4 linked regions of the Stegostoma tigrinum genome follow. The protein of the gene in region 3 interacts with the protein of the main gene of each other region in a pairwise test. Links are inferred from orthologs where the notes say so. Each region holds a gene or a part of one and is shown on either strand. Other genes may lie near its edges. The genes, in order: pts, gmds, ntaq1 and gas7b.

The links.
Region 1: the proteins of ntaq1 (region 3) and pts interact in binary tests that used the Homo sapiens proteins (3 or more experiments, as listed by UniProt). The two-hybrid records come from large-scale screens. The link is inferred for Stegostoma tigrinum from reciprocal best matches to the Homo sapiens genes NTAQ1 and PTS.
Region 2: the proteins of ntaq1 (region 3) and gmds interact in binary tests that used the Homo sapiens proteins (3 or more experiments, as listed by UniProt). The two-hybrid records come from large-scale screens. The link is inferred for Stegostoma tigrinum from reciprocal best matches to the Homo sapiens genes NTAQ1 and GMDS.
Region 4: the proteins of ntaq1 (region 3) and gas7b interact in binary tests that used the Homo sapiens proteins (3 or more experiments, as listed by UniProt). The two-hybrid records come from large-scale screens. The link is inferred for Stegostoma tigrinum from reciprocal best matches to the Homo sapiens genes NTAQ1 and GAS7.

Annotation. Positions count from the first base shown.
Region 1 is NC_081375.1:46,560,314-46,567,396, reverse strand, and holds the start of pts (6-pyruvoyl tetrahydrobiopterin synthase), read left to right. Parts: upstream 1-4,062; 5' UTR 4,063-4,174; coding exon 4,175-4,263; intron 4,264-7,083. UniProt on the Homo sapiens protein: Involved in the biosynthesis of tetrahydrobiopterin, an essential cofactor of aromatic amino acid hydroxylases. Catalyzes the transformation of 7,8-dihydroneopterin triphosphate into 6-pyruvoyl tetrahydropterin.
Region 2 is NC_081355.1:14,490,453-14,498,174, forward strand, and holds the start of gmds (GDP-mannose 4,6 dehydratase), read left to right. Parts: upstream 1-4,716; 5' UTR 4,717-4,917; coding exon 4,918-5,022; intron 5,023-7,722. UniProt on the Homo sapiens protein: Catalyzes the conversion of GDP-D-mannose to GDP-4-dehydro-6-deoxy-D-mannose.
Region 3 is NC_081358.1:39,416,484-39,424,136, reverse strand, and holds the start of ntaq1 (protein N-terminal glutamine amidohydrolase), read right to left. Parts: upstream 3,013-7,653; 5' UTR 2,840-3,012; coding exon 2,745-2,839; intron 2,646-2,744; exon of another isoform or gene 2,294-2,645; intron 2,281-2,293; exon of another isoform or gene 2,165-2,280; intron 1,302-2,164; exon of another isoform or gene 801-1,301; intron 396-800; coding exon 296-395; intron 1-295. UniProt on the Homo sapiens protein: Mediates the side-chain deamidation of N-terminal glutamine residues to glutamate, an important step in N-end rule pathway of protein degradation.
Region 4 is NC_081375.1:45,726,677-45,734,137, forward strand, and holds the start of gas7b (growth arrest-specific protein 7), read left to right. Parts: upstream 1-4,441; 5' UTR 4,442-4,763; coding exon 4,764-4,943; intron 4,944-7,461. UniProt on the Homo sapiens protein: May play a role in promoting maturation and morphological differentiation of cerebellar neurons.

The sequences.
Region 1 (7,083 bases), on a different chromosome or scaffold from region 3:
AAAATTCAATCATATTGTGGATGTTGCTACCTAGGAATACCTTGACTTTGAGGTCATTAATTAATCAAGTCTAATCTAACCTGTTCTGTGATAGTGTCTTACAGCTTTAAAATCAATCTCGAAAGCATCCTATGAACTCTTCATCCAGGCTACAACTGCTAATCTGATTTTTCACATTCATAAGTAGATTAAAGCCACTTGTGCTTATTGCTGGCATTCTATCATATGCATCCAATTTTTTTGACATATTTTGTCCCACCTTGTGGTTACATTGAGGCACACCCTTGAAGCATTGGGTACATAAAATTAGGCAGTGGGATATGTAGCTCAAAGATTGATTGGGAGAAGTGGGTTTCAGTGGGTGGACCACTGACACCAACCCTGGGGAGACTGAAGGCTGTACAATTCAGACAGTCTACACCTGAACAAAATAGTGAGGGCAAGGGATCAAATGTGGAAAGATGCGGGATATCAAACAGTAGGGATAAAGTCTGTCGGAACCTGGTAATATGGGAAATAGAGGCAGAGAATAGTAGGAAAGGGCAGAGAGGATAAAAACTTCTGGTCTCCCTGCTATGGGAAAGATGTTGTGAAACTTGAAAGTGTTCAGAAAAGATTTACAAGGATGTTGCCAGGGTTGGAGTGTTTCAGCTATAAGGAGATGCTGAATAGGCTGGGGCTATTTTCCCTGGTGCATCAGTGCCTGAGGGGTGACCTTACAGAAGTTTATAACCTATGAGGGGCATAGGTTTAAGGTGAGAGGTGAAAGATTTAATGAGACCTAAAGGGCAACTTCTTACAAAATTATTTTACATCCTGATTTCCTGGATCAAGTTCATCTTGAACGATTGTACAAATGCCATCCTTGATTAACAGTGCTATCAATCCAGCTTTGATTAGCTTGCTGTTTTTCCTGATTGTCATATTACCTCTCAATATTCAAGACCTAATCGTTGTCATCCTGAAGCTCTGCCTCCATAATTATACTCAGATCATACTTATCTACTTCTGTCTATGCCATCAATTCATCTACTTTGTTCTGAATAGTACACAGGTTAGGCTTTTCTTTTGTTATTTTTGTAATGTCTAGTCTTGAAGGTTTCTGTATTCCCAGGTGGAGTGATTGATTTATTGTCATGTGCACCAAAATACAGTGAAAAGCTTTGTTTACGAGTGGTACAGGCAAATCACAGCAAGCAAAGGATGTAAAGATCAAAAAGACTTAGGGGCATACAGATTACATTGTAGGTTATATTATGTGAGGCTACAGTCCATTCAACAGTCTGATAATAGTCAGAAAGAAGCTATTCCTGCACTTGCTCGTGTGTGTGTTCAGCCTTCCGTATCATTTTTCAGTTAATTCAAGGGTCATAGATTCATACAGATGTACAGCAGAGAAACAGGTCTTTGGTCCAACTCATCCATGCTAACAAATAAATTAATCTAGTCCCAATTTTCAGCATTTGGCCCAGATCTCTCCAAACCCTTCCTATTCATATGCCCAATGAAATGCTTTTTAAATGTTTATAGTTCCACCACTTCCTCTGGCATCTTGTTCCCTTAAATCTTTCCCCTCTCACCTTAAACCTACGCCATCTAGTTTTGGACTCCCTATCCTGGGATAAAGGTCTTGGCTATTTACCATATCCATACCCCTCATGATTTTATAAACATCTGTAAGGTCACCCCTTAGCCTCCAATGCACCCAGGAAAAAAGGTCCAGACAATCCAGTCTCTTCCTATTGCTGTAACCCTCTAAGCCTGGCAACATCCTTGTAAATCTTTTCTGAACCCTTTCAAGTTCACAATGTCTTTCCTATAGCAGGGAGACCAGAAATCTTTAAGAAGTCTTTATTCCATCTTACCCTACCTGCTATTATCTGACGTTCATCTCCCATATTACCATGTTCTGACATAGTTTGTCCCCATTCTTTGACATACCACATCTTTCCATGTTTGATCCCTTGCCCTCACTATTTGTTCAGGTGTAAGCTGTCCGAATGGTACAGCCCTCAAGCTCCCCAGGATTGGTCAATGGTCCACACACTGAAACCCATCTATTCCTCTGATAATAAAATGTGAGGCTGGATGAACACAGCAGGCCCAGCAGCATCTCAGGAGCACAAAAACTGACGTTTCGGGCCTAGGCCCTTCATCAGAGAGGGGGATGGGGAGAGCGAACTGGAATAAATAGGGAGAGAGGGAGAGGCAGACCGAAGATGGAGAGAAAAGAAGATAGGTGGGGAGGTAGGAAGGGGATAGGTCAGTCCAGGGAAGACGGGCAGGTCACGGAGGTGGGATGTGGTTAGTAGGTAGGGGATGGAGGTGCGGCTTGGGGTGGGAGGAAGGGATGGGTGAGAGGAAGAACAGGTTAGGGAGGCAGAGACAGGTTGGACTGGTTTTGGGATGCAGTGGGTGGAGGGGAAGAGCTGGGCTGGTTGTGTGGTGCAGTGGGGGGAGGGGACGAACTGGGCTGGTTTTGGGATGCGGTGGGGGAAGGGGAACATTTTGAAGCTGCTGAAGTCCACATTGATACCATTGGGCTGCAGCGTTCCCAAGCGAAATATGAGTTGCTGTTCCTGCAACCTTCGGGTGGCATCATTGTGGCACTGCAGGAGGCCCATGATGGACATGTCATCTAAAGAATGGAAGGGGGAATGGAAATGGTTTGCGACTGGGAGGTGCAGTTGTTTATTGCGAACCGAGCAGAGGTGCTCTGCAAAGCGGTCCCCAAGCCTCCACTTGGTTTCCCCAATGTAGATGGTAGCCACACCGGGTACAGTGGATGCAGTATACCACATTGGCAGATGTGCAGGTGAACCTCTGCTTAATATGGAAAGTCATCTTGGGGCCTATAAACAATAAACAACTGCACCTCCCAGTCGCAAACCATTTCCACTCCCCCTCCCACTCTTTAGATGACATGTCCATCATGGGCCTCCTGTAGTACCACAATGATGCCACCTGAAGGTTGCAGGAACAGCAACTCATATTCCGCTTGGGAACCCTGCAGCCCAATGGTATCAATGTGGACTTCACCAGCTTCAAAATCTCCCCTTCCCCCACCGCATCCCAAAACCAGCCCAGTTCGTCCCCTCCCCCCACTGCACTACACAACCAGCCCAGCTCTTCCCCTCCACCTACTGCATCCCAAAACCAGCCCAACCTGTCTCTGCCTCCCTAACCTGTTCTTCCTCTCACCCATCCCTTCCTCCCAACCCAAGCTGCACCTCCATCCCCTACCTACTAACCTCATCCCACCTCCTTGACCTGTCTGTCTTCCCTGGACTGACCTATCCCCTCCCTACCTCCCCACCTATACTCTCCTCTCCACCTACCTTCTTTTCTCTCCATCTTCGGTCCGCCTCCCCCTCTCTCCCTATTTATTCCAGAACCCTCTCCGATGAAGGGTCTAGGCCCGAAACGTCAGCTTTTGTGCTCCTGAGATGCTGCTTGGCCTGCTGTGTTCATCCAGCCTCACATTTTATTATCTTGGATTCTCCAGCATCTGAGTTCCCGTTATCTCTCCCATCTATTCCTCTCTCTATTTTATGTACCCTATACCTATTTGCACGTGGCTCAGGTAATAATCCAGCAATTACAACCTTTCTGGTTTTGCTCTATAATTTAGTGCCCAGCTCCACATACTCCCTGTTCATAATCTCCGAGGTCTAACTATTCTATTGGTACCTACGTGAACTACGACCGCTGTATAGAGCAAAGGTAGGGTGGCATCACTGAACTTAACTGAGTTTCAACTCTTTTTTTTCGTTCTCAAGGTTTGGTACAGAAGATATCACGGAGGTAAACGCAAATGTATTTACAAAGGTGGTCATATGTCATCTGATGAAATGTCATGTCAAGCCAAACTTGACAAACGTCTGTCAATCAAATTTGTTATTTTTTTTCCAAATTAAATATAAATGAGAAAATAACTTATGAATTAAAAGTAAAAACAACGTATTTACATTTTCCCTAAATTGTTTTATTTTCTATTTTAAAAGCCACCTTTACAGCAACGTGAAGGTGTTGGATGTGGATGTTTGGGTTTGGAAAGATGTGATGGTCTGGCGGAAGTGAGTGCGACGTCGGGTGGCTGCTGTGCTGTGCGTGGCTTCTAACCTGTCGCATTGAAGCTGTGTTGGTCCGTGGAGATCAGATTGTTGCTGCACTCATGGAAGTGGGAGAGGAGCCACCGAAACCCATCAGGACCGCGCTGGTGACGAGAGTGGAAAGCTTCAACGCTGCTCATCGCCTCCATAGGTAAATAAATAAAAAAACTGGCACCATCCCAGTGTGGACGTTGTAAGTTTCACTTTCACTGAGAGCAAGAACATAATATGGAAGCTTCAACGGTGAAACGTGCTCAGGAAATGCGCCCCGTCTATTGTGGTTTAATTGTACATGGGTTAATCGGTCTTATTTAACCATCTCTTCATGACATTGTTCCAAACAGAAACTCTCTTTGCGCAGGATCTCTCGCGTAGGGAGGTTGGGCCCTGGTTCTTCGTTGCTTTCAGTTCCGTAACCGCGTGTGAAATTGACAATTCACAATCTCGCTGAGGTCAGAGGTAAATGCCGGGTCTGAGACATTCCCCCACCCCGGAACCGCAGCTGTAACAGGTCCTGTTTAATTCGGCGTAACCCATTCCCGGAATTATTGCATCCTGTTTCGTAACAGGCAAGCTGTGTTGTAGGAGCCCTGGATTTAATCAGTGATGTGGATTGGCTCAGTACTGTGAGCCTCACTGTTTGCCTCACGTCCGTACGTCCAGGCAGGCCTGTAGTGTAGCGGGATAATGGGAACAGCGGATGCTGGAGAATCCTGGAGTGTATTCTGTTCTTATGAGAGACTCACATCTATCCCCAGCTCTGTGACAAGGCAACTGTGTCAGTGACCCCTCGTCGTGCACTCGGCGCACTGGAAAATCCACTTATTTACATCCGATTTATTCACTCAGCCGCTTTAAGACGTGGTCTTTCCATAGAAAAATCTTTAAGGCGAATCTCTCAACAGCAGCCTGCAACAATAATACAGCTCTCCGGACATAGCCAAACATCACCGAACTGTTTACACGCAGTGTTATTAACCAGGCACTAACACTGAGGCACCTGAGAAGATAACAGGGCAGATAATCAAATAGTTTGCTCACTTAGCGTTTGATGCTTACACTAGGGGGTCAAAACCTAACGAGATATGCCCATTTATATCGCTATGAATTAATTATTCTAACTTGGACTGCCATGGCTCAATAAAGACCTGCAGTCTAAAGATGTGCAAGTTAAGTGGCCATGCTAAATTACTCATAGTATCCAGGATGTGCAGGCTAGTTGGATTAGCCATGGGGGATTGTGATAAGGTATGGGGTTGGTCAGGGTGGGATGATCTTTGGAGGGTTGGAGTGGACTCGATAGGCCATATGACCTGCTTCCAAACTGCAGGGATTCTGTGATTCTAATTCAGACAATATGCTTGTCTGATTCACATTGGTCCATGTAGAAGATTCACCATTTCAGATTGCATCATTGCAAATTCCTGTGCAATATCCCACTATAGGTTTATGGGCAAGTGTAAAGGTCGCAAACAAGCAGCCTTTTTTTAAACTATCTAGAGCATTGCATTATGAATGAGTATTATTCTGCCACTTGCTGGAACCATGATTAATCTTACCAGTCTTGTGGCTTTATAAATGCTCTCTGAAACCTCCAATCATTTACAGATTAGTAATTGTCCCATAATGAAGTTTGAAATCTGTCTAGTTCTTAAACTCTTGAAAAGAGGGCTTTGTTTCAGTTATGGATGGTTAAACTCAAGTAGCTTTGCTACTGTTGCAAAGAAAGATTGCGGGTCACAGAGGACACATCTTAAAGCCAGGATATCCAGGGGTTTTGTGACCAATTTATCATGTAGCCAAACAAATATTTGTGTTCAATATGGTGATGACAGTAATGTTTATACGGGCATGATGTGTGAGGGGAACTTGGCTTGTTTTGAGGAGACTGCTGGCTAATTCTTGGCTGCTTCATGAAGTAATAATGAAGCAGGAGTGAAAGAGTAATTGGACCAGGAATTTCTGAATGACAGACTGGGACATAGAGGTTTGCAAAGTACAAGAGGGCAATACACTTGAAAATACACTGAAAGTACTGCTGCAACATATTCAAACGGTTTGTAATCTCAAAACAGCTGTCTTTCTTAGCTGGTGGTTCATGCTTGGGTTAGTTGTAACTACACTAGAGCCCAATATTTTCTTTAATTCATTCATGGGATGAGGGCATCACTGGCTAGGCCAGCATTTATTGCCCTATCCCTAATTGGCCAGAGGGCAGTTATGAAGCAGATATGTTGCTACAGCTCTGGAGCCACATGTAGGCCAGACCAGGTGAGGATGGCCGTTTCTTTCTTTTTCATGAGTGAACCAGATTGATTTATCCAACAATTGACACTGGCTTCATGGCCATCATTAGACTCTTAATTCCAGATTGTATTGAATATAAATTCCACCATCTGCCATAGTGGGATTTGAAACCAGGACCCCAGAACATTTTCTGCACTCTGGATTAACAATCCAGCAATAACATCACTAGACTGCTGCCTCCCAGCATTCAGTCCTCACGCTCCAATTTTTTTCAAAAAAAACACTGCATGGGATTTGGGCAGTGGCTTGTTTGGTCATTTTTAGATATCAGTTAAAAGTGAATTGGAGTGATCTGGAGTCGTGTGTAGGCCCAGCCAAATAACAATGGCAGAATCCCTTCCCTAAAAGACACCAGTGAGGTAGGTGGGTATTTACAACAACAGACAATGTTTGCCATTTGACTTCTTCATTTTAATTTATTTTTCTTTATTAAATTCAAGTTTCCACCATCTGCTGTGGCACAATTCTCTCCTATGTCCCCAGAACAATCGCCTGGAGTTCTGGATTACCACTCCAGTGACATTACTACAATGACACCATCTCCCCAAATAAATAAAGCATTAAAGTGAACTCCATAATTAAATGTCTGCTTTTAATTTTCTTTTTAAAAAAAAAATGATGGCTGTGTTCACAGTAGGGCTTGTATCATTTGCTGAATTAAACT
Region 2 (7,722 bases), on a different chromosome or scaffold from region 3:
GAGTGGTTTCCCCATACACGCTTCCGCAGTCGCCCGAAGGCGCTACTTGCTTTCGCAAGGCGATTGTCGACATCTCCTGTGACTAGCATCGTTGGAGATTATGCTTCCCAGGTATGTGAATCATTCGACCGTGTTGAGGGGGTGGCCGTCGATCGAGATTCGAGGGGGGTTGTATGTGCTGCATGGTGGATTCTGGTACAGGATCTCCGTCTTCTTCAGACTGATTGTTAGCCCGAAAGCCTTTGCAGCTTCGGAGAAGAGTGTCACTGCAGTCTGTAGCGCATCTTCTGTGTGTGTGAGTAGGGCACAGTCATCTGCATACAACAGCTCCATGATGGGCTCCCATGTTGTCTTCGTGCGAGCGAGGAAGCGATGCAGATTGAAGATATTGCCGTCCAGGCGGAAGTGAATATAGATGCTGTTCGTGATGCCCTCCTTCGCTTCCTGCAGCATCATGTTGAAGAAGATGGCGAAGAGCGTTGGTGCCAAGACGCAGCCCTGCTTCATGCTGTTGCTGATGAGGAACGGGTGTGATAGGTCACTGTTGTGTTTCACCTTGTCACTCTGGCCTTCATGAAGTTGCTGTAGGATGGTTAAGAGCTTCCCCAGGATTTTCCATAGACCGTCGCGGCTGACAGTATTGAAGGGTTTGGTGAGGTCAATGAATGCCGCGTACAGTCCAACATTCTGCTCACGGCATTTCTCCTGAAGTTGGCATAGTGCGAAGATCATGTCGGATGTGCCTCTGTTCACTCTAAAACCACATTGACTTTCTGTCAGGTCGTCCTCCGCAATGGTGGGAATCAGTCTGTCCAAGAGGATTCTGGAGAGAATCTTCCCAGCTGTAGACAGCAGAGTGACACCTCTGTAGTTCGAACAGTCCAATTTCTCACCCTTTTTCTTATACAGAGTCATGTAGATCAGCTGGCACCTCACCTTGTTCCCAACAGAGTGCAAATAGGTTGGTGAGTTCATTCAGAGCAAAGCTCCTCCTAATTTGTATACTTCTGCAGGAATTCTGTCGATACCAGGGGCTTTGTGGAGTTTCAGCTTAGAGATGGCGGATTGAACCTCATCCAGCATTGGTGGACAGTCAAGTTTGGATCTGATGTCCTGCTGCGGGATTCTCTCGATGGACGCTGTTTGTACTTGGCGATTGTCCGCGAAGAGGTTCTCGTAGTGTTCTGTCCATTGCTCCATAATGGCTTCTTTGTCAGTAAGCAAACTGGCACCGTCAGCAGAGCGCAAAGGGGCCTGAAGTTGGCGGGTTGGTCCATACAACGTGCGCAGAGACTCATAAAAAGCTCTGGTGTTTCCAGAGTCTGCATACTGCTGTGTTTGTTCTGCCAGTTTTGACCACCAGTCATTTTGCATCGTTCTGAGGTTGGCTTGCAGGGTACTGCACGCAGCTGTGTATTCTGCTTTAGCTGTTTTGTCGTCAGATCTGGAGAGCAAGGTCTGATGGGAAGAGCATTTCTTCTGGAGGACAGTCTGTATCTCAGTGTCATTTTCATCAAACCAGTCTCTGTTCCTCCTAGAAGTGTATCCAGCCACCTGAACAGCTGTATCTCGCATTGCAGACTTCAGGTGATCCCATGTCTTTCCTGTGTTGCCATCTGTGTCCGATGAGTCCTTGGATTTCAGTCTCTCCTCTAGCTTGGACTGGAATTCGTCACAAAGATTGTGGAGCTTGCTTACGTGGATTTTCTTGCAACACGGTCCTCTCTTCTTTGTCACTGGCTTGACTACTAGTCTTACTTTCATCTGTACCAGCCTATGGTCCGTGTAGCAGTCCGCACTCGGCATAGCTCTGGTCTGTAGGCCGTCCGATCTATCCCTTTGGCGCACTAGGACGTAGTCCAGGAGGTGCCAATGTTTGGATTGGGGATGCTTCCAAGTCGTCTTGAATCTTGCTTTCTGTTGGAACAGTGTGTTTGTTACCACCAGTCCAAGTTCTGTGCTGAGCTCCAGAAGCAGCCTCCCGTTGTCATTACAGCTTCCAATGCCATGCCAACCCAGGACTCCGGGCCATGCCTCTGAGTCGTTGTCCACCCTCGTATTGAAGTTGCCTAGGACAATGAGTTTGTCTTTCGTGCTGACGTTCAGGAGGAGAGACTTGAGCTGGTCGCAGAAGGCTTCTCTGACTGCGGTCTCAGTTTGCAGTGTGGGGGCGTAGATGCTCACAAGAGTGGCAAACTGGTTGGCTTGTAGTGGGAGTCGCAGGGTCATGAGGCGATCTGAGTGGCCGATTGGTAGGCTTTGGAGCTTGTCGGCGATTGTCTTCCTGGTCATGAAGCCTACCCTGAGAGTCTGTTTTCGGTGCTGCTTCTGCCAGGCCAAAACAGAGTGTAGCCTGCACCATATTTTACCAATGAACCTTGGTCTGCGAAACGGGCTTCACTTAGAGCAGCGATATCGATGTTCAGCTGGGACAGTTTGCGTGCGACGAGGGCCGATCGTCTTTGCCGGCATTCGTTTGCTGGCGAGTCTTGCATTGTGCATACGTTCCAGCAGGCTAGCTTGAGGTTTGTTGACCACCATGGAGTTCTGAGCAATTACACAGTTGTGCTCCTGCTCTACACTTGGGGTGAAATCTTCTCGATGTCTGAGCAATGTGATGGGAAATGTGGTTGAATCGTATGGGAAGTCAGTCAAGCCCTATCTTGACAGCAGGTGCAGCGCGCTGCGTCTTTCATGCATTTGCCAATGAGGCGGGTTTCTCATCTGGCAGCCATGAGTTATCATAAGGGAACTACATGCTCATTAACTGCCTTAATGATGCCGCAGCTCACCTCATTAATATTCAGCATCAAATCTTACCAAGTCAACTAGTTGTCAAGAATTCTCCACATGGAAGACTAAGTAAGTCTCTGGTGACTTCAGAATGCCATTGGCTGCAATCAACCACCACTTTGCTCAGTTACAAACAGCATCTCAGAGCACAATCCATGGCACTATCCTCATGCATACCTCATCCACAGATATTAGCATCCATTTGCCAACTCCTCATGACCATTTGTAACACTCTTCTGATCCATTTGCAGGCCTCTTAGGAAACAAAGACTTCCACAGCATGGTGCGCCAGCAATTGGAATCAAAAACGTCAAGACCATCTCACACACTCAGTCAGGTGTCCAGCTCGTGCATGGGATCAGACTGGCATTTTGGGAATAAAAACAGAAGTTGCTGGAAAAGCTCAGCAAATCTGGCAGCATCTGTCGAGAAAAAATCAGAATTAACATTTCGTGACCGGTAATCCTTCCTCAGAACTTAAGCTGCCACTCACTGCATGAAAAAGTGTCCCCATTTTCAACTGCATGAAATCTGCAGCCTCACATGTTAGATCCAACTACCAATGGGAATTACTTTTCCAACATCCATCCACACTGCTCATGATGTCAAGCCTCCAACTGTAATAACACTATATGATTTTGGAGCAGAAGCAGGCCATTCAGCCCATTGAGTCTGCACTGCCATTCAATGGGATCATGACACTAGAAGACCTGTGAACAATCAATCCTTGTGATGCATTGGCAGCGTTCCTACGTCTGGGCCAAGAGGCCTGAGTTTAAGTCCGAGCTTACTCCAGGTGTGTGTAAACAACATCTCTAAAAAGTAATATTTGGAAACGATTCTATGTGCTCTCGTAGCACAATGGTAGTGCTCCTTCCTCTCGACCAAGAGGTCTGGGTTCAAGTCCCGCCTGCTCCAGAATGGACTTCTCTGAACAAGTTGATTAGAAAGCCTAAAAAAAAATCGACGGAGTGAAGAAACTGGACGTTAGTTAGCTCTTCTTTCTCTCCAACAAATGCTGCCAGACCTGCCGAAACTCTCCAGCAATTTCGGTTTCGGTCTGTCATGACAAAGCCACCTACTCTGCAATGGAGAGAGATAATGGGAACTGCAGATGCTGGAGAATCCAAGATAATAAAGTGTGAAGCTGGATGAACACAGCAGGCCAAGCAGCATCTCAGGAGCACAAAAGCTGACGTTTCGGGCCTATAGACCCTTCATCAGAGAGGGGGATGGGGTGAGGGTTCTGGAATAAATAGGGAGGGGGGAGGCGGACCAAAGATGGAGAAAAGAAGATAGGTGGAGAGGAGACTATAGGTGGGGAGGTAGGGAGGGGATAGGTCAGTCCAGGGAAGACTGACAGGTCAACGAGGTGGGATGACGTTAGTAGGTAGGAGATGGAGGTGCAGCTTGGGGTGGGAGGAAGGGATGGGTGAGAGGAAGAACAGGTTAGGGAGGCGGAGACAGGCTGGGCTGGTTTTGGGATGCAGTGGGGGGAGGGGATGAGCTGGGCTGGTTGTGTGATGCAGTAGGGGGAGGGGACGAACTGGGCTGGTTTTGGGATGCAGAAGGGGAAGGAGAGATTTTGAAGCTGGTGAAGCCCACATTGATACCATTGGGCTGCAGGGTTCCCAAGTGGAATATAAGTTGCTCTTCCTGCAACCTTCGGGTGGCATCATCGTGGCACTGCAGGAGGCCCATGATGGACATGTCATCTAAAGAATGGGAGGGGGAGTTGAAATGGTTCGCGACTGGGAGGTGCAGTTGTTTATTGCGAACTGAGCGGAGGTGTTCTGCAAAGCGGTCTCCAAACCTCCGCTTGGTTTCGCGTGGGTGAATAAGACCGAAGCGCATTCACCCACTTGTGCATGCACCTCCCGTGCTGGTGGGGTCGTTGTCTCTGGAGGAGAGTGGCGCAGACGCATATGGGGCTGGAGTGGAAGGCGGCCTGTTGCTAGGGGCGGTACCGGCACTTTTCAGACGGTTGCCAACCGAGGCTGGGGCGGGGCGGCGGCTTCCTTCACTACGCGGAAGTGCGAGTAGGTACACGGGGACGTGGAGGTGAAGTGAAACGAAACTTGTGAGATTCAGCAACGAGCCCCGGGGGAGTCCACGCTGGCAGCGATGAATGAGCATCAAGCGGCGGCGGGAGGTGACAGTCCGGCCCCATCAGTTGGAGATGCCGTCGGCAAGAGGAAAGTAGCCATCATCACCGGCATCACTGGACAGGTACATCACTCATTCACATGCCGGCATCCAAACTGTGTCTGCCAAATAAAACGCGGGTGCTGGAGATCTGAAACAAACGCAGAGAATGCCGGACCCACTCAGCAGGTCTGGCAGCCTCTGTGGAGAAAGGAACGCTTAACGTTTCGAGTCCAGTTTGACTCTTCTATGGAACTAAGTGCTCATCGGGATCTGCTCCTCACTGACTGGTTATGCAGCTCGCTCACCGCCCGTCCACCCCCGCCTCACGTCCAGTGCTCCAAATAAGTTAAAATTCTTCTCTGAACAGGTGTCATGTGTAGTTGTAGGATTTCTTTGCATGGCGTCGGTTTTATGAATTGACGCCGTTACAAGTTTACCTCATCTCACTGTGGCAGGTGCAACATGTGTAACCGGTTTTGTGTTTGTAGCATCTTGTTTTATGATATAAATGTAGCTTTATCTTACATTGTGATACATTGAGTGCTGAAGTGCTTGGGGGTGGGAGGGATTTAAATCTATTTGTAAAGGGAGAGGTGCAGCAGGGCACAGCAGTGGAGTGAAGCCAGGTGCTTATCAAAAAGCACACATTGTCTTTATGCAGACCTTAACTTATAATAAAACATCTCAAGGCACTTTAGTGGAATGTAAAAAAAACAAAATATAACATCATGTGGAGATATTAAATCAGATGACCAAAACCTTGGTCAAAAACGTCTGTTTAAAGAGTGTCTTAAAGGAGGAAAACAAGGCAGAGAGTAAGGTGGGAACCAGGAGTTTAATTGCCTGACAACTGAACTTAACTCCCTGTCAATGTCTTTTGGCACCACCCTGCTTCCTTGTGAGGAAGAGGCACCTGGCATACGTGCCAGACTCCATATTCCCGTTACAATGCCTCTGACCCTGAGAACAAATGGCTGGGATGATAGAGTTGAAGTATGTATATGTCTCCAGCAGATCCTGAAATGATGAGCCTGAGACTTCATGCCAGCTGCCAACCTGTCCATGGATGCAGCCAGATGGCTGCATGCTTGAGACTGGGGCACTATTGGTGTGGATGCACCCTACAGCCTCGGGATGATGAGTTCTACATTCCTTCTGTTGCTCCTGTTCCTCCCATAGACCTCTCCTGCCTGGGGCTTAGCAGGTGCCTGATCACCAGTTCTCCTTTGAATGCTAATGATCTGAGGCACTTCTTCCACAGCTAGCTGCAGAACTGTCACAGTGAGCTGCTTACCAGCTTGTGCTCTCAAACATTCTAAGGCTGACATTCTTACTGAGGTGTTGGTATCTGAGCTGATGGCAGTGGGGGATGCAGCCTTGCTGATGTTTCCTTTGTGGCATTGGAAATCTTTTCCTGAGAGGTCAAGGAGGTGGCATCTGGCAGAGTGGGCCACTTCTCAACTGGAGTTGTAGACTGAGATCTGCAACAACAAAAAGTGAAAAATAGTTAGTTGCCAATATTTAGTTATGTGCAATGATTGACACTGGCAATGGGGTTAATTTGAGAGTTGTAATAGAGTGAAGCATAGCCCTTGTTTGGCAAGTATGAATGCCTTGGTGGCTTTGCAGGAACACTTCCACCTTCTCCAGCAAGGGACAGATTTCCCTTATCATAGTGGGTGAGGAGCCTGATGTTGGGTGATTGTACATCGATCGATGCCTTTTTTTACCCTTTAGTCAGCTACTTTCTCCTGGAATGAGAGAAAGGGAGAGATTGAATGATATGAAAGTGGTTGGCATAACAAAGCCATTGGTACTGGCGTATGAGGTGGCATATCCCTGTTGGAGAATTGAAACATTGTTTTCTCCATCTTTGACATCTTTTGTTCAGTCATTGAGCAGGTCAACTTTGGGATGCCGGTGCTTGTCTGAGTATGCAGCAGTCTTTTAAATGTGGTGTATGCACCAAAGATGTCTAGTGAGTTGAGAGTTCTTCCAGGAACGGTGAATGATAAAAAGGGACTAAAATTGGAAGGGGGGGAGGTGCCATAAGTGTGGGTAGGTAATTGATAACTGAGTTTGGTCAGTTATGGTGCGAGATGTCACTAGATGTTGCAACAAAAAGTTTTCCAAGAAGTTGATGAACCTGAAATTTAAAAAAAAACCTGATTGAGCCCACAGTGTAATTTTACTGAGGATCAAAAATGAAAGGTAAAGTTGAGAATTTTGTATCAATAGGTAACAAAGATAAATGGCAACATAACGAAGCATTGTCGTATTAGCAGCTAAGATATTTTCTAATCAACTTGTTCAGAGATGTTATTACGTGCCCCCAGAGCAGGTGGGACTCAAACCCAGGCCAACCAGATGGCCTTTTCCTGACAGTCGACAATAGCTTCACTTGATTATTAGTTTCCAGGCTCCTTTTTAATTTGGATTCAAGTGCCTTCATTTGCCATAGGTGAGTATCAAACCCAGGTCCCCAGAAGATTATCTGCATCTCTGGATTAATAGCCTTGCTGCAATGCCACTAGTCCATTGCTTCCCCATTTTGAAACCAGACCAATACAAACAAGGTTGATTAGTGACAGGTGCAAGTTACTACATGGGATAATAAATGAGTATAATGGAAACCAATTTTAAAGATATCAGCAATAAGATTCAAGATCAAAGGTAAAGGCCATATTCTGGAGTAATAGGAAGGGAATATGGTACAATAGTGTTCCAGTTCTACAAAGGGACTATATAACAGGGTTCAAGGTCTGAATCTATTTGGATAGA
Region 3 (7,653 bases):
TAAGATCTGGAATTGGCGGCCTGACAGCATGGTGGAGGCAAGGTCAATTGAGTCATTCAACAGGAAACTGGATTATTATCTGAAAAGGAAGGTTGTGCAAGTACAGGGTGAAGGTTGGTGGGTAACATGAGATATACTGATTAACTGGACAGCCTCAGCAGACAGAATGGGCTAAAAGATGTCCTTTGATATTGCAACAGTTCTGTGATTCTATGATACAGACAAAGCAGGAATTTGGTGAAATTCTTGTACCTTGAATTAATAAAACGTACATTCAATTGTAGATTGCACTTACCATCTTTTGGTCATTTGACACGAAAACAGTGTACCATTCTTCCAGAGGATATTGTCTTCTGTTCCTTATGTATTCACAAAGCTTCCATATATTTTCTTCACTAAGAACATATTTTAATATAAATGTGAACATTTATTGCAAAAATATTCACTTTTTTGTCTAAATCAAATGCTACAATATTCTGGGCACCGCTTTTGGGCATAGAGGCGTGAATGATGTATGTATGTTGCGCGGTGGAGTTGGAAAAGTCAGGACTATCCTCTTTAGAACAGAGATGGCTAAATATACAGTTAATACTATGGCTACAAAAGCAGGTCAGAGGCTGGAAATTCTGCAGCAAATCATTCACTTTCAAGCTGCTCAAAGCCTGTCCACCATTAACATGGCACGTCGAGAGTGTGGTGAACACTCATCACTTACCTGGCTTGGTGCAGCTCCAACAACACTAAAGAAGCTTACACAATCCACAGCAAAGCAGCCGCTTGATTAATATCACATCCATTACCTTTAAAGTTCATTCTCTTCACCACTGATGCACAGCAGCAGTGTGTACCACCAATAAATGCACTACAACTAGTCACCAGGCTCCTTTGGCAGCACCTTCCAAATCCACAAACTCTCCCACTTGAAATGACGAGGGCAACAGTTGCTTGGGAATACTACTACCTGCAAGTTCCAATCCAAGCCACTTAGCTTCTGACAGGAAACAATAACACTGTTTCTTCAAAGTTGCTGAGTCAAAATACCGGAACTGTACCCACAAACCAAGCAATGCAGCAGGTCAAGGAAGTGGCTCACTACCGCTTACTCAAAATGAAATTAAGGATGGACAACAAATGCTGGCCATCCCCATGATCGAATTCAAAAAATGACTTTTAAGATGATGAGGTTTTGGGATGGTCAATAAAAATATTATTGTTTCTGAGAAGTGAGTCAATAGCCGGAGGTTGTAGATTTAAACTTATTAGTTAATGAGGCAGAGGGGCATGAGGAAGATATTTCTACTCGCACAGCTGTCAGATTCTGTAATGCTGAACCACAGAAAGGATTCCAAAACTAATTTTTAAAATGAGATTTTGACATGTACCTAGTGATGAGGAATTTACAGGGTTACAGACAAAAAAAAACTCGGCTGTAGGACCAAGCAGAATACTTTTTAGAAGAACAAGCACAAACAACGACAAGCTGAATGGGCTCCTTCAGTTCTGCAATATTCTACAATTACAAGTACAAACTAAGTTTTGTATTCTTTTTATTTTTTGAAATCTGCTCTCATGGCTGGACTTGGACTGTAGAGGTTCTAGTGCTCTTTTGATACCTCATTTTTCTGGCCTTTGTAGGAAGGTAGAAAGATGCCAGAAGTGTACTAAACCCAAGGGTCACAGAGTTGAGCCTGGACCTGTCTTTCCACATGGAAGAAAATGAAATATGCTGCTTGGGAGCGGAGACTCAAAAGAAAAATAATACAACTTGTCTGCAAAATGGAATTTACAGTCTATTAGAGTATTGCTGAAAGCAGTTAAATATTTTCAATCATACTTTAACTGCTAACAATATAACTTATATAGCTTGATCAATGCTGATTACACTTTAGCAGCATTAAAAGCCAGGTTGACAATAAATAACTGTTTAGTCCTAAAAGTAAATTATGAACAATCCTTCAAAAGAAAAAGTACATTTGTGCAATTATATTGCATATTCCTAATTTCAGCTCAAAACAAGTGCTATTTGAATAGAAGGATCTACACTGACATAGCAGAACAAAACCATGTGAAAATCCTCCATTGATTCGTCGGAGAGCAACCCTGTAGGGGAAGGCAGGTGCAGACAAGTACAAATAAACTGTTGTTGTAAGTTTTAAGTACTAACCTTCACAAAATAAAATCGCTTAAGATGTGATTATTAAATAAAATTTGAAACTGAGCACCCAGTGAAAAAAATAGAACAGGTGACCAAAGTCCTGATCAAAGAGGTAGGTTTTAAAGGAGAGAAGCATACGTTTTGGGAAGCGATTCCAGAATATAGGGCCCAAACAGCTGGCCTTCCCCCTAAAAGGAGAAATAAATCCAAAGCTGTCAAGATCAGGTGATTGGGAGAAGGTAACGTTTAGGGACTATTCCAGCAAAGGAGGCCATTCAGTTCGATATATCTCGGCCGGCAATTTTGAATAAAACTGCCCAATCAATCCCACTCTCTTCCTCTGTTGTAGCGTTGCAAATTATCCTTAGAAATGTTTGTCCAATCCCTTACTGAAAGTCCCTACAGTATTTGAATCAGCTTCCGCTGCGCTTTCAGCCAGTGCACGTCAGATCACAGTAGTGATTTTCCTTTTAAAAAATACACTGATAACACAACTTCCGTTTAATTTATGGAAAACGTCGCACAATTTGTGGGACTTACACCCCCATTAAATAACTGAGACCATTTTTTCCCAGTAAGGCCTGCTTACCAATAACAGCTGGTGTACACACAATCCTCCTTTCGAATGGCTGAGATCTGGCTCTTACCTCCTGGGTCTAACCTCTCAGGGTTTGGGATACTCATAACAACTTCGCAACAACGACAAATTAGAAACTAAATTGCAGGATACCTAAATTTTCATTCATAATACTAAACAGCGAATTCATTCAAACAAAACTGGCTCAAGGTAAGAACCAATGGGATTACAACCTTAGGAACCATTCATCGGGGATTAGGACCAAAACAGGAAGCCGGAAGGAATAGCAGGTGCACACGGAAGAAGACTGCCTCGCTTTCTTTGACGTTTGGGATACTGCCGCCTGCGTGCGCAACCTCCGCTGCCTCAACGAAGTGTTTTAATACGTTGACGCGTAAAGCTGTCATGTTAAAACCTGTCTTTCGTAACAGTGTGAAATAATTATGCACTTTCTTCAATTAGCAATATGAATTGTATTAGGTTGATATGGGGAGTAGGCGTTGAATTCATTCACGTTTTCCTTCAATTGTTGCTTTTAACTCTATGGATATCCTGGTCATGTCTCTACCTCTGGCCTGGAAAATTTGGTTGTAGTCACACCTGAAGCTATGTGTTCGTGGACGTGTGCCAGCAGGTTCATAATCTCCCCTTCCCCTACTGCATCCCTAAACCAGCCCAGTTCATCCCCTCCCCCCACTGCACCACACAACCAGCCCAGCTCTTCCCCTCCACCCACTGCATCCCAAAACCAGTCCAACCTGTCTCTGCCTCCCTAACCGGTTCTTCCTCTCACTCATCCCTTCCTCCCACCCCAAGCCGCACCCCCAGCTACCTACTAACCTCATCCCACCTCCTTGACCTGTCCGTCTTCCCTGGACTGACCTATCCCCTCCCTACCTCCCCACCTACACCCTCTCCACCTATCTTCTTTACTCTCCATCTTCGGTCCGCCTCCCCCTCTCTCCCTATTTATTCCAGTTCCCTCCCCCCATCCCCCTCTCTGATGAAGGGTCTAGGCCCGAAACGTCAGCTTTTGTGCTCCTGAGATGCTGCTTGGCCTGCTGTGTTCATCCAGCCTCACATTTTATTATCTTGGAATCTCCAGCATCTGCAGTTCCCATTATCTCTCATAATTTACAACTCGGTTTGTGGTGCAGCAGTTTTGTGCCTGACGCAGTGTCAAAAAGTTGTGTGTTCAAATCACGACATTGAGAAATTTTGAGACTATAGGGTTAGCTGATCTTGTGTTACAGCGATGGTGTCCCTTCCTTTGAACCCAGTGGTGTGCTTGTAGATGTCTGCAGATTTCTAGTTGAAGATTAGTTTTCTCATGAAGACTGTCAAAGAAACAATTGGACCCCAGGCAGACATGTCTAAGATACTGAAACCAAAGAGAAAGTAAATTGAAACAAAAAGGAGTAGCACTGAACAAACATAGGTATTTAAGAAAATTGGAAGTTTGATGTCAACTAATGTGAAGTGATAGGTTTTGAACATGAAGAGGAGAGAAAGATGGAGAGGTTTATATAATGTAGGAATTGCAGCAGTCAATTTGGATATAGCAAAATCTTTAAACAATGTTATAATAACTGCAAAATCTGTTTTAGTGATGTTAGTGGAGAGATAAGTATCCGTCATTAATTCCACACACCCCTACAAAATAGTGCAAGGGTGAGCATTTACATTTAACTGGAGCATAGATGAGACCATTGTATGATGAAGATAGTCAACCAGTGCAGTAGTGTGGAGGTAGAACATAGAAAAGTACAGCACAGTACAGGCCCTTTGGCCCATGATATTGTGCCGTGGAATAATCCTAAGCAAAAATAGAATAACCGAACCTCCATTCCCCTCAATTTACTGCTGTCCACGTGCATGTCCAGCAGTCACTTAAATGTCACTAATGACTCCGCTTCCACGACTACCACTGGTAAACTATTCCATGCGCTCACAACTCTCTGGGTGAAGAACCTCCCTCTGACGTCTCCTCTATACCTTCCTCCTAACACCTTAAAACTATGACCCCTCGTGGCAGTCAATCCTGCCCTGGGGAAAGGTACTGAGATTACATGTTCATTCTCCTGCAGTGGGACTCTGTGTTAGACAGGATGACTACAGCAAACCTTTTATTAATGGACACTTATGGGATCAGGAGCGTGTGAGTTGACTAAATATTCCAGTTGATCAAGAGGTCCACATAATCAATATAAAAACTCTCACTAATTAATAGAAATGTAATGCGGCGGTATACACATCGCTGTTCTACTTATTTGCAGCATAAATCACTTAAATAATAATGCAACTTTGCCTGAAATAAACCTTACTGGCAGAGAGCCCTCTCACACCCTGAACTGACTGACTACTCAGAGATTGTGATAATTCAGTAAACTTCCTATATTTGAGGTATATAATTCTTAGTGGTTTATCAAAAATGCTGGCCATAAGGTATCGGTTAAAACAAAGTTTGCAGTAATATTTTGACTATTAGTAAAAAAAGGGCATCAACTGGACTTATTGAAAAGGGACAGTCAAAAGATTGTGGGTGTAAGAATTAAAAGGTACAATATACCTTAAAAATTGGACAGCTTCAGGTACCCAGTACCACTGAATTATACAGTACAGGAAGCTATTCAGCTCATTCTACTACTGCAGTCCCTTTGAAGCACCTATACAAATTATTCTCATTAAGTTGTTCCCCTTAGCTCTGCAAATTTTTCTTCAAAGTATTTATTCAATTCCTTGTGAATCTAGCTATTGAATTCCACCATTACACACCTATTCCACCTTTTTAGGAAAATCAAGAGCTCCCTAAAAGAACACTTGGGATATGTGTGAAATTGCCTCTACTGTATAACTTAATAAAATTATGAAGATTGGGGAGAACCTTTCTCATTGGAGGGTAGGAGGTTGAGAAGTGACCTTATAGAAGTTTATAAAATAATGAGTGGTATAGATAGAGTTAATGGTGGTTGTCTTTCCCTCAGATGGAGGATTTCGCGTCTCGGGGGCACATTTTTAGGAGACAGAGAAATTTTAAAAAGTCACACAGAGTAGTTTGGGTGTGGAATGAACTTCCAGAGGAAGTAGTGGATATGGGTACAATTGCGACGTTTAAAAGGTTTTTGAATAAGTACATGACTAGGAAAGGTTTGGAGGGATATGGGCCAGGAACAGGCAGGTGGGACTAGTTTAGTTTGGGATTATGTTTAGCATGAATTGGTTGGACCAAAGGTCTGTTTCTGGCTGTGCGACTCTATGACTATGAGTCTATTTATGGAAATATGATCACTGGCAAGTCCAGTGTTTGTTACCCCTCCCAAATGTCCTTGAGAAGGTGACAGTAAGCTGTCTTCTTGATCACTGAGTGGCATGGAATGCCATATCGGAATCCAGTTAAAAATCAACCACATCATTATGGATCTGGAGTCACATGAAGCTCAGACAGTGTAAGGATAGCAGATTTCCTTTCTTGAAAGACAAGGTAAAATAGATTTTTTAGAAAAGCTATCAAATAGTTCCAAGGTCACCATTACTCAGACTTTTTATTTTCACAGTTCCATTTAATATTTATTTGTCCCTACCACTGGACAGAGAGGCTTGTGTTCAAGACCCACCTATTCCAGAGATGCATAATAACATCTCTGAACAAGTTGATTAGAAAACTGTGTGACAATACCATGGCCTTGGGTGTATTTTCTCCTTCTTGTGAAGAGAGGTGTTGAGCCATAGGCACCAAGCTGTCTCCTCCAAGCCAATAAAGTGTACAGGTTGTGAGGACGTGGGGATTTTTAAAAAGTTGAAAAATAGAGTCAGCATGAACAGGGGAGTCAGGCTCCCATAGAACTTCAATACACAAACATTACATTGACTCTAAACGTGCAAATATTCAACACTACAGTCCATTTCAATCAGTTTCTTCTGCCAACAAACACCTTCATTTTCTTTCGTTAAACTTGTGACAACGCATCAGCAATTACATTCTCTCGTCATACCATGCATATAATCTTTAAATTAAGTGGCTTTAACAACAAATTCCATGTTGGCAATATTGTATTTCTCTGTTTTTATTTTTCCAAAAAACATTAAGGGTTTATGATCAGTATATACAATTGTCTCAGGCGCATTACTGGGAACATAAATGTTGAAATGTTGCACCATCAAACTCAAGGTCTCCTTCTCAATTGTGGAACATTTCTGAGAAGGACATGGAGCCTTTTTCATTTCATGTGAGAAAGTAGCTAAACAAATGAGATGGTTGGTGATCATGCTGATATTGTTGATTCAAACCACATTTGTCGGTGAAATAACTCCACGAGGACCAGTATCCCATCACCAAGTCACCTTTTACTTACATGTGCGTAGCATATGACACTGGCCCAGCTAGCACAGAGCTGGTTCCTGTAGTATAAAACTAAAGGTTTTTAAAAATGAAGCCACCTATGTTTATTGATAGTTCATTTTTCTTTTAAGGGGTAGGGGAAGGTGTAATGATATTATGGCTTTAAGAGGAGCATTTTGCCCTGTGTCTTTTTGAAGAGAGGTTTTGAGTATCGATGAAAAACTGCCTCCTCCAGGCTAATAAAATAAATAGTCATGAGGCCTTGGGATTTTTTAAACGTTAGTATAATGGAAGCAACATGAATGGGTGGAATCAGGTTCCTACGGAACCAGAGTTTTATTTTCACTCAGCAGTTGTTGGGGTTTGCAGTTGACTGTGGAAACTGTTACATCTGTTATGGACCAAATATTAAGATAGCTGAGACCCTAACTTGTTACTTTAAAAGTAAGAGGCATTGTGTTCTAGATGTAATTTGATTGGTCAAAATTACTCAACTTTAAGCAAAATAAACTTTATTTTTGAACCAGAGTTAAAAGACAAACAAAACAAAAATTAAAAAAGGCTTAATTGTAACTCTATTGA
Region 4 (7,461 bases), on a different chromosome or scaffold from region 3:
TGAATTGAAAAAGGGCTTTTCTTATGTGACTTGTTCAGAATGAAGCCAACTGTTTAAAGTGCATTGTGGTTTGCCTGCTGTTTAATGAAAATCAAGTGACTTTGGGAAAAACAGCTAAGTAAACTTTCAAGGAGATGAAAACTGGATTTAAATGCCTTAATTATTGGAAAAACTTGGCTTTGAAAAGCCTGGCAGGGTGGGGAATGGGAGGAAGGGTGGCTGCAGGCTAATAGTTGCTTGGCATTACATTCTTAATTTGGAAATTTAATTTTACAGATCCAGGAGCCAATAGAGAAGACATGCCTTAGAGAAGCAACAAGGGTCTTACTAAAGAAGCATTCCTTCTTTCTGGATGGTAGTACCAAAAAGAAACACTTGGTCATTTTCGTAATTGAAGCAATATATTTTTACTAATGCTGTGACTGAAGATGTAGTGGGAATGGATCATCAGTGCATTTCTCCCATTACAGTCATGTTATTACTTTTTGTCAGTCTTATTTTACCCTTTATGCTTTCAAATAAACAGATAACTCTAGATTTTACAATACCACACTTTACCTTTGTGGGGACGTGTCCACACCATGCCCCTAGAATTTCGATATCAATTGCATCCTTGTTATTTCCTGATTTACCTTCAAGTAGCTGCATCCAGTCCACTTTCACCAGACCATCTATCAGCTTCATGAAATTTGTCTTCCCTAAATTCAAACTTTTATCCTTTATCTATGTTTCCTCTTTTTCATAATGATGTCAAGTCCAACTGTATTGTGGTCTCTGGCTCCAAAATTTGTCATCTACTGCTGATTAATCCACTTGTCCAGCTTTATTTCCTAGGTCTAAATCTAAAAGCGTGCCTCCTTCTCATTGGGCTTGTCACATGATGGCTAAGAAAGTTCCCATAAATGCAGTCCAGAAATTTTGTGTTTAGATTAGATTCCCTACAGTGTGAAAACAGGCCTTTTGGCCCAACAAGTCCACATTTGGAGCATCCCATCCAGACCGATCCCCCTATAACCCACGCACCCCTGAACACTATGGGCAATTTAGCATGGCCAATCCACCTAGCCTGCACATCTTTGGACTGTGGGAGGAAGCCAGAGCACCTGGAGGGAATCCACGTAGACACAGGGAGAACGCGCAAACTCCACACAGACAGTCACCCGAAGCTGGAATCGAACCTGGGTCCCTCGCGCTGTGAGGCTGCAGTGCTAACCACTGAGCCACCGTGTCACCTATGTTCCCTGGGCCTTTTGCATTCTTCATATCCCAGTTGATATTAGGACAGATGAAATTTCCAGCTATTATTTTCTCATTGTTTTTGTATTCAGAAATTGGTCTGTGCATTTGCTCTTCTTTCTCTTTTGCCCTATTTGGTGATCTAAAACACAGTCCTAGCAGTGTGGCTGCCTCATTCTCAACCGATATGGTCTCATTTCATGAATGTTTAGCATATCATCCTTTCTCACATCTGTAATGGAATACTTAACCAGCAATGTGCTGCCCCATCTTTGTTCACTCTACTCTATCTAGCTTGACAATTCTATATCCAGGGTAGTGAGAGGCCAATTTTACCTCTCTTTAAGTCAAGTTTCATGAATTGAAATGTCATCATGCTGCCATGCATTTATCAATGCCCTCAGCCTATCAACTTTATTTGCTGTACTCATTGCACTTACATATAAATAAAGTTAACACTGCCATACTGATGTGCTGCACACTTTCAGAGCAGGGAAATACTGTGGGTGATGCCAAAGCTGGACAAGCAGGGGGGGATCTCCCTGTTTGCTGAATTGGTCACCTCCTAATCTGTCATTGGGAGACTGCCTGGGGGCCCCACAGCCTGTTGGGCCTGGAAAATTCCAGGTCGGTTTCCATTAACGGACTTCAATAGGACATTAAGTGGAGCTGTTGGCCAGCCCGATGCTACACTGCCATCCTGGAAAAATAGTCTGGGATTCAAAATTTCTCACCCATCCCCATTCCCAACTGGTTGAGCATTAAAAATATAGTCCACAATTCCAGAAATACAGAAAATCTATGTTTATATAGTTATAAATGCTAAACAGACAAGAAGGAAGATTTTATTACACAAAATATATGTTTTTCAAATAAAGACTTAATATTTTCAGGAGAAAAATTTGTTGTGGCTCCTAACTTTATTATGACTCTACAGAAAAACAGAATGTGAAAATGATAAAGAAATTAAGAGACAATGCACCCAGAACTAAGAAGAGGCCTCCATCAGGAAATGATTGAGTTTGGAAAAGATTGAGGAGATCTGATTAGCAAGCCTTTAAATTAGGATGTGAGAAACAGTTTCTACGAATGAGTGCAACACATGGGGACGCGAACACAAGATATGAACTAACTAATTGATCAAATACGGTATCTAGGAGGAAGATGGGTGAGATTGCGTATCTACAGGCATGAAGAAAGGTTGTAATGTTGTGGATAGTATTGTTAAATTTAAGATGCAGCAACAGAAATATAGATGGTCTGAGCAGGAGTAGGCTATTCAGCCCTTCAAGCCTTCTCCATTGATTGATTTGCTTTATTGCCGCATGTACTTAAATATTGTGAAAAGTTTTGTTTGCGAGCAGTACAGGCAGATCATAGTAATAGTGTAGAATGGTTATTAGTCATGTTAGAAATGGATCTGCTTTAGGGAGCTCACAAGGAGTTGCCCAGTGTTGATGCCATCTTAAATCCATCAATTCAATATGATCACGGCTGATCATTGAGATCAATATCCTGTTCCGTCTTTCTCACCATACCTCTGATCCTTTTATTGATTGATTGATTGATTTATTGTCATGTGTACCAAAATACAGTGAAAAGCTTTGTTTATGAATGGTACAGGCAGATCACAGCAAGCAAAGGATGTACAGATCAAAAAGACTTATTAGAGGCATACAGGATATATTGCAGGTTACATCATTTGAGGCTAGAGACCATTCAACAGTCTGACAATGGCTGGAAAGAATCTGTTCCTGAAGAACTATACAAAGTTTCTTCTTGAAAACATACCATGTTTTGGTCACAACTGACAGAGAATCTCCACAGGTTCACCACTCTCTTGGTGAAGTAATTTCTCCCAATCTCAGTCTTAAATAGCCTACCTTAGGCTGTAATTGCTGGCTCTGGGCTCATTTGTCGTCAGGGACATCCTTACTACATTTATCACATCTAGTCCTGTTAGAATTTTATGAAATTCTGAGACTTTCATTCTTCTACACTCCAGTGAATTCAGTCCTGGCACCCCAGGAACCAATCTCATTGCACTCGCTCTTAGAGCCAGGACATCCTTCCTCAGGTATGGAGACCAAAACTGCTCACAATACTCCATCAAAGTCCTGCATAATTGCAGCAAGACATCCCTGCTCCCGTACTCAAATCCTCTCTCTGTGATGGCCATCACAGCATTCGCTTTCTTCACTACTTGCTGCCACTACGTGCTTACCTTCCGGCGACTGCTTTGGGGACACCTCCCGCTCTCCCAATCTTTCGCAATTCACATAAGAAACCGCCTTCCTGTTTTTGCTACCAAAGTGGGTAGCCTCACGTGTTTTAAATCCCAGTGGTCTCATTGTTTCAGACAACCGCCTGTAAATTTAGGTTTGTTCGCAAGACAAGCGAATACAGGGAAGGAAAAGCGAGATTCCCCAACACCCTCAACAAAAGCTCTTAAGAGTTTAGAGGAAGAAACTAAGTTTCTAAATCCCATCCTGAAACTCTGGCGAGAATTTTGATTCCCACATAATAACAGCAGAACTGTTGCTTGTCAATCAAAGGAGCTGATCTCAGCAAATCATCTCCATCTTACTGCGCGGGCAAAGTCACCTGAGTGAAAAAGAGAAGCTAAGACAGTGATTGAGAGAGTACCAGGGACTGGGACAGGTTAACACTGAATCTGTCACGCGTTCTCCCACTGTCAGACATGTCTCCTGCGCAGAACTCGTTGAAACGGTTCTGTAAGTAAGAATGGGTTGTGGGGTTCAGGGGGAGGTAGAATCTATAATCGGACAGCAGGAGCAGTATTGCTACATACGGAAAGGAAGAATTATATTTTTGAAAGGAAAATCAACGGCACACGATGTGTATAGGCAGAAGGTGTAATTATAATTCACGTGTACTTTTGTACCTATTTAAAAACATTAAAATCTCTGAAGAGAGGAGTCGGGTCTGATTGAGGAAGTAAAATAATAAGATAACGAATTATCAAATCCTGTTCTCCAGAAAAACAAAAAAAGACTCCTCTGAGCGTCATGTGGAAATTATGTGCGTTGTTTTCAGTACGATATAGATTGTAACTTACTTCTGTGGCGCTGCTAAATGTTTACTATTAGTGCCTTCTTTACTTGGAACAATGCTCCTCCCCGCCCCCCCTCCGGCCCATCACTAAACACATTGGAATGAATTACAATGGGAGAGAGCTATCAGCTCGTTTCCTTCCCGTCAAAGCGCCACCATCCAGAACTGCAGCAGATTTCATCCAAACGCCAGCAGCGAGGAAATATCAGAACTGCAGCACTTTTTCCTTCTCTCTTCCTCTGTCTCTCCCTCCTTGTGAATCTTATCCGTCCCCTCTCGTGGTGATCTCAGCACTGAGTCATACCGTGAGTTGGAGGAAACAACGATGGACTCCTGAGCCTAGCGTCAAACCCAGCGCGGGGAGAGAGAGTGAACAGGGGAGAGGCTTCGAGCTTTTCAGCGAGAGAGCTCACAGCGGTCACACGTAAAACACCAAAACCAAGGAGTCTGCTATGGCCGGAGTTCTGTGCAAAACTTTGTACGCGTTTACCGGCGACCAACATCAGCAAGGGCTGAAGTTCGAGGCTGGGGAGATCATCAAGGTTTTACAGGTGCTGAACGGCGGATGGTGGGAAGGAGAGAAGGATGGGACCAGGGGTTGGTTCCCTGCAAGTTATGTGGAAATTCTAGAGGTAAGCACGCCACAAACATCTGTTAACTCCACCAACCCTGGGACTAACTCCCCCCCCCGCCCGCCAACAACGGCTCTGGTTCTTTCCCCCCCCAACCTTGAATCGCTCTAAGTGCAATTTTGTTGCAAAAACGGATGGGAATTGCTTTGCTCCGGACGAGAAATATGAATGCTATTTCATTGAAATGGGAGTTCAGAGTAATTGTTTGTGTTGTATATCTTTCGAACCTGGCTGCTTTATATTTGTGGTGCGAATCAAGACTGATATCAGTAAGGTTCACACACACACACACACACACACACACACACACAGCAAACTTAAAGGAAGAATAAATGAGTAAACTGTCCGGAAATTGTGACACAGTCTTTGGAAACTGACATTTTGAGGGAGAGCGGACAATGGAAATGAGATTGAATACAGATGTATTAGAAGTTTGGAGGCTGCGATTCAAACTGTCACAGCCAATGAGGGTGGTGTTGTGCTTTACGGTGTTTAACAGCCTAAAGTCTCCTTGTTCGTAAACTGTTCTGTGATAGTGCTCGCTTGTCTACTTGTTTTGAAATCTGAGGATCGATATGCTTTCAACACCGGATATTAACATTTCATTTTCCGCTAGGGGGCATGTTGCAACACCAAAATGTGGAGAAATCCTTGAAAAAAATGTGTAAGCGGGAAATTGTTAAGACTTTAATTTTGTGATTTGTTAAATGTAACACAATTTTATACCTGTGAAATTGGGTTCTTAAATCACTAACTCACTATTTTCAATCCTCTAATTTATATTAGTTGAATAAACTCAAATTCGAACGAAAGCTGTACGTTTATCTAAGGGGATCTGTCGGATTTGGTCTCCGCTGTTAGAATGAGTCACGACATTGATCTTTCAAAGAAATCTTTAAAAAGCAACAGTTTGCACTACCCACAAAAAAAATACAGTGATGGTCTTTGAGCTCATTGCATCACTGGATGTCAGTACTTTTACACTGGAACGCTTGGTTTGATAGTGTGTGATATATACATTACTATTAACTTTCTAAATGTCGAAGTTCTGAAACGTATCAGTCCAAGACTTTTATTGTGATCACTATCAGAACCTTATTCTGGTTGGCAACATTTATAGATAACTTCTCAGACCAATCAAACCGCCTGTCTTTGACCCGCAATGCTGTTACTCTAGTGTTCAAAGAGATTGTTTTTTTAAAAAAACAGTTTTTTTTGTCTCATTCATAGATAGCCTGCGGTAGTGTCCAGGTCATTAATTAGTGGAGACTCGAGGACAATCCGAAAGGGTTGGCAATGCTACGCTGTACTGTCAGACTGATTAATGCCCAAGCCCAGCACAATAATAATATTGGCAATTATACGTCCGCTTGCTATCGTTGCAAAACCATGTTGTGCAGGTTTTAACAAACTGTATCTAGCTGATAATTACGTGCTGATTTTCACACTGCCTAGACTGGTTAGCAATTTCAATGACGTGCAGGGTAGCTTTATTTAGTTTCTTACAAAAATTATGCTTGTTTGATGCATAATTTCACATAGTTCCCATGTCTCTTTTCTGTAGGGACTTATATCGGTGTTGATCTGCTTTGAGGTAACACATTATGTACAAGGCATACGAATTAGGGCTAGAAATCTCTGTTTATGAAGAAAGCGAATTTGAAGATAGGAAGGGCATTTAATGAAGTGGGGTGATGGTAAATTTAAATCCCACTGCCACCTTTTCTGTCCCTGAATCAAGTTATAGGGGTAAACACCCCTCTGGACAAACCTGCTGCTCCACTGCTAGTTGAGGCCTGTAATTGACTAATTGACCACCATCTAAGAGCTTCGGCCTGTTTGCCCTGGGATTGCAGGCCTGTCACCAGATTCTGTTCATAATAGATGCCAACCTGTAAGTAACCTATCTCTGCTGTTGGACAGGGTGGTGTCCCTTGATCAAAGGTAAGTGATGCCTAGTTGAGGGAATGGGCAGTGCTTGCCAGCTGGGAGCTAACTCCCAGCCCTTGCTTTCTCAAACCCTGCCGTACATTTGACCCTGACCAGTCTGAATACAGCCTGAGAAACCACTGCCCCCTCCATCAGTTATCTTCTTCTTGAGTTTGGGTTCTCTATGATCCTGAAATTTCAGGTTGCTACACTCCCAGTGGCCACAGCCTGCTTCATGGTGCTGTGGCCCCTGATTGACAGGCAGCCCTTACTCAATGTGAGTTTCAACTCAAATGTCTTGTTTCCAGGGGAAGGCCTGTCATTGACCTCAGCACCTGGTGGTCCTGTGGTTTGGTGCGGCAGCCCTGCAAGAGGTAATGGTCAGACCTCTAGCCAGTGCTCCAACCTCGAGCGACAGGGTAGTGAAGAAAGCATTTAGTATGCTTGCCTTTATTGGTTCGTACATTGAGTATGGGAGTTGGGATGTCCTGTTGCAGCTGGACAGGACATCAGGCCACTTTTTAGAATACTGCATTCAGTTCTGGTTTCCTAGTATTGGGAAAAATGTTGTTGAACTTGAAAGGGTGCA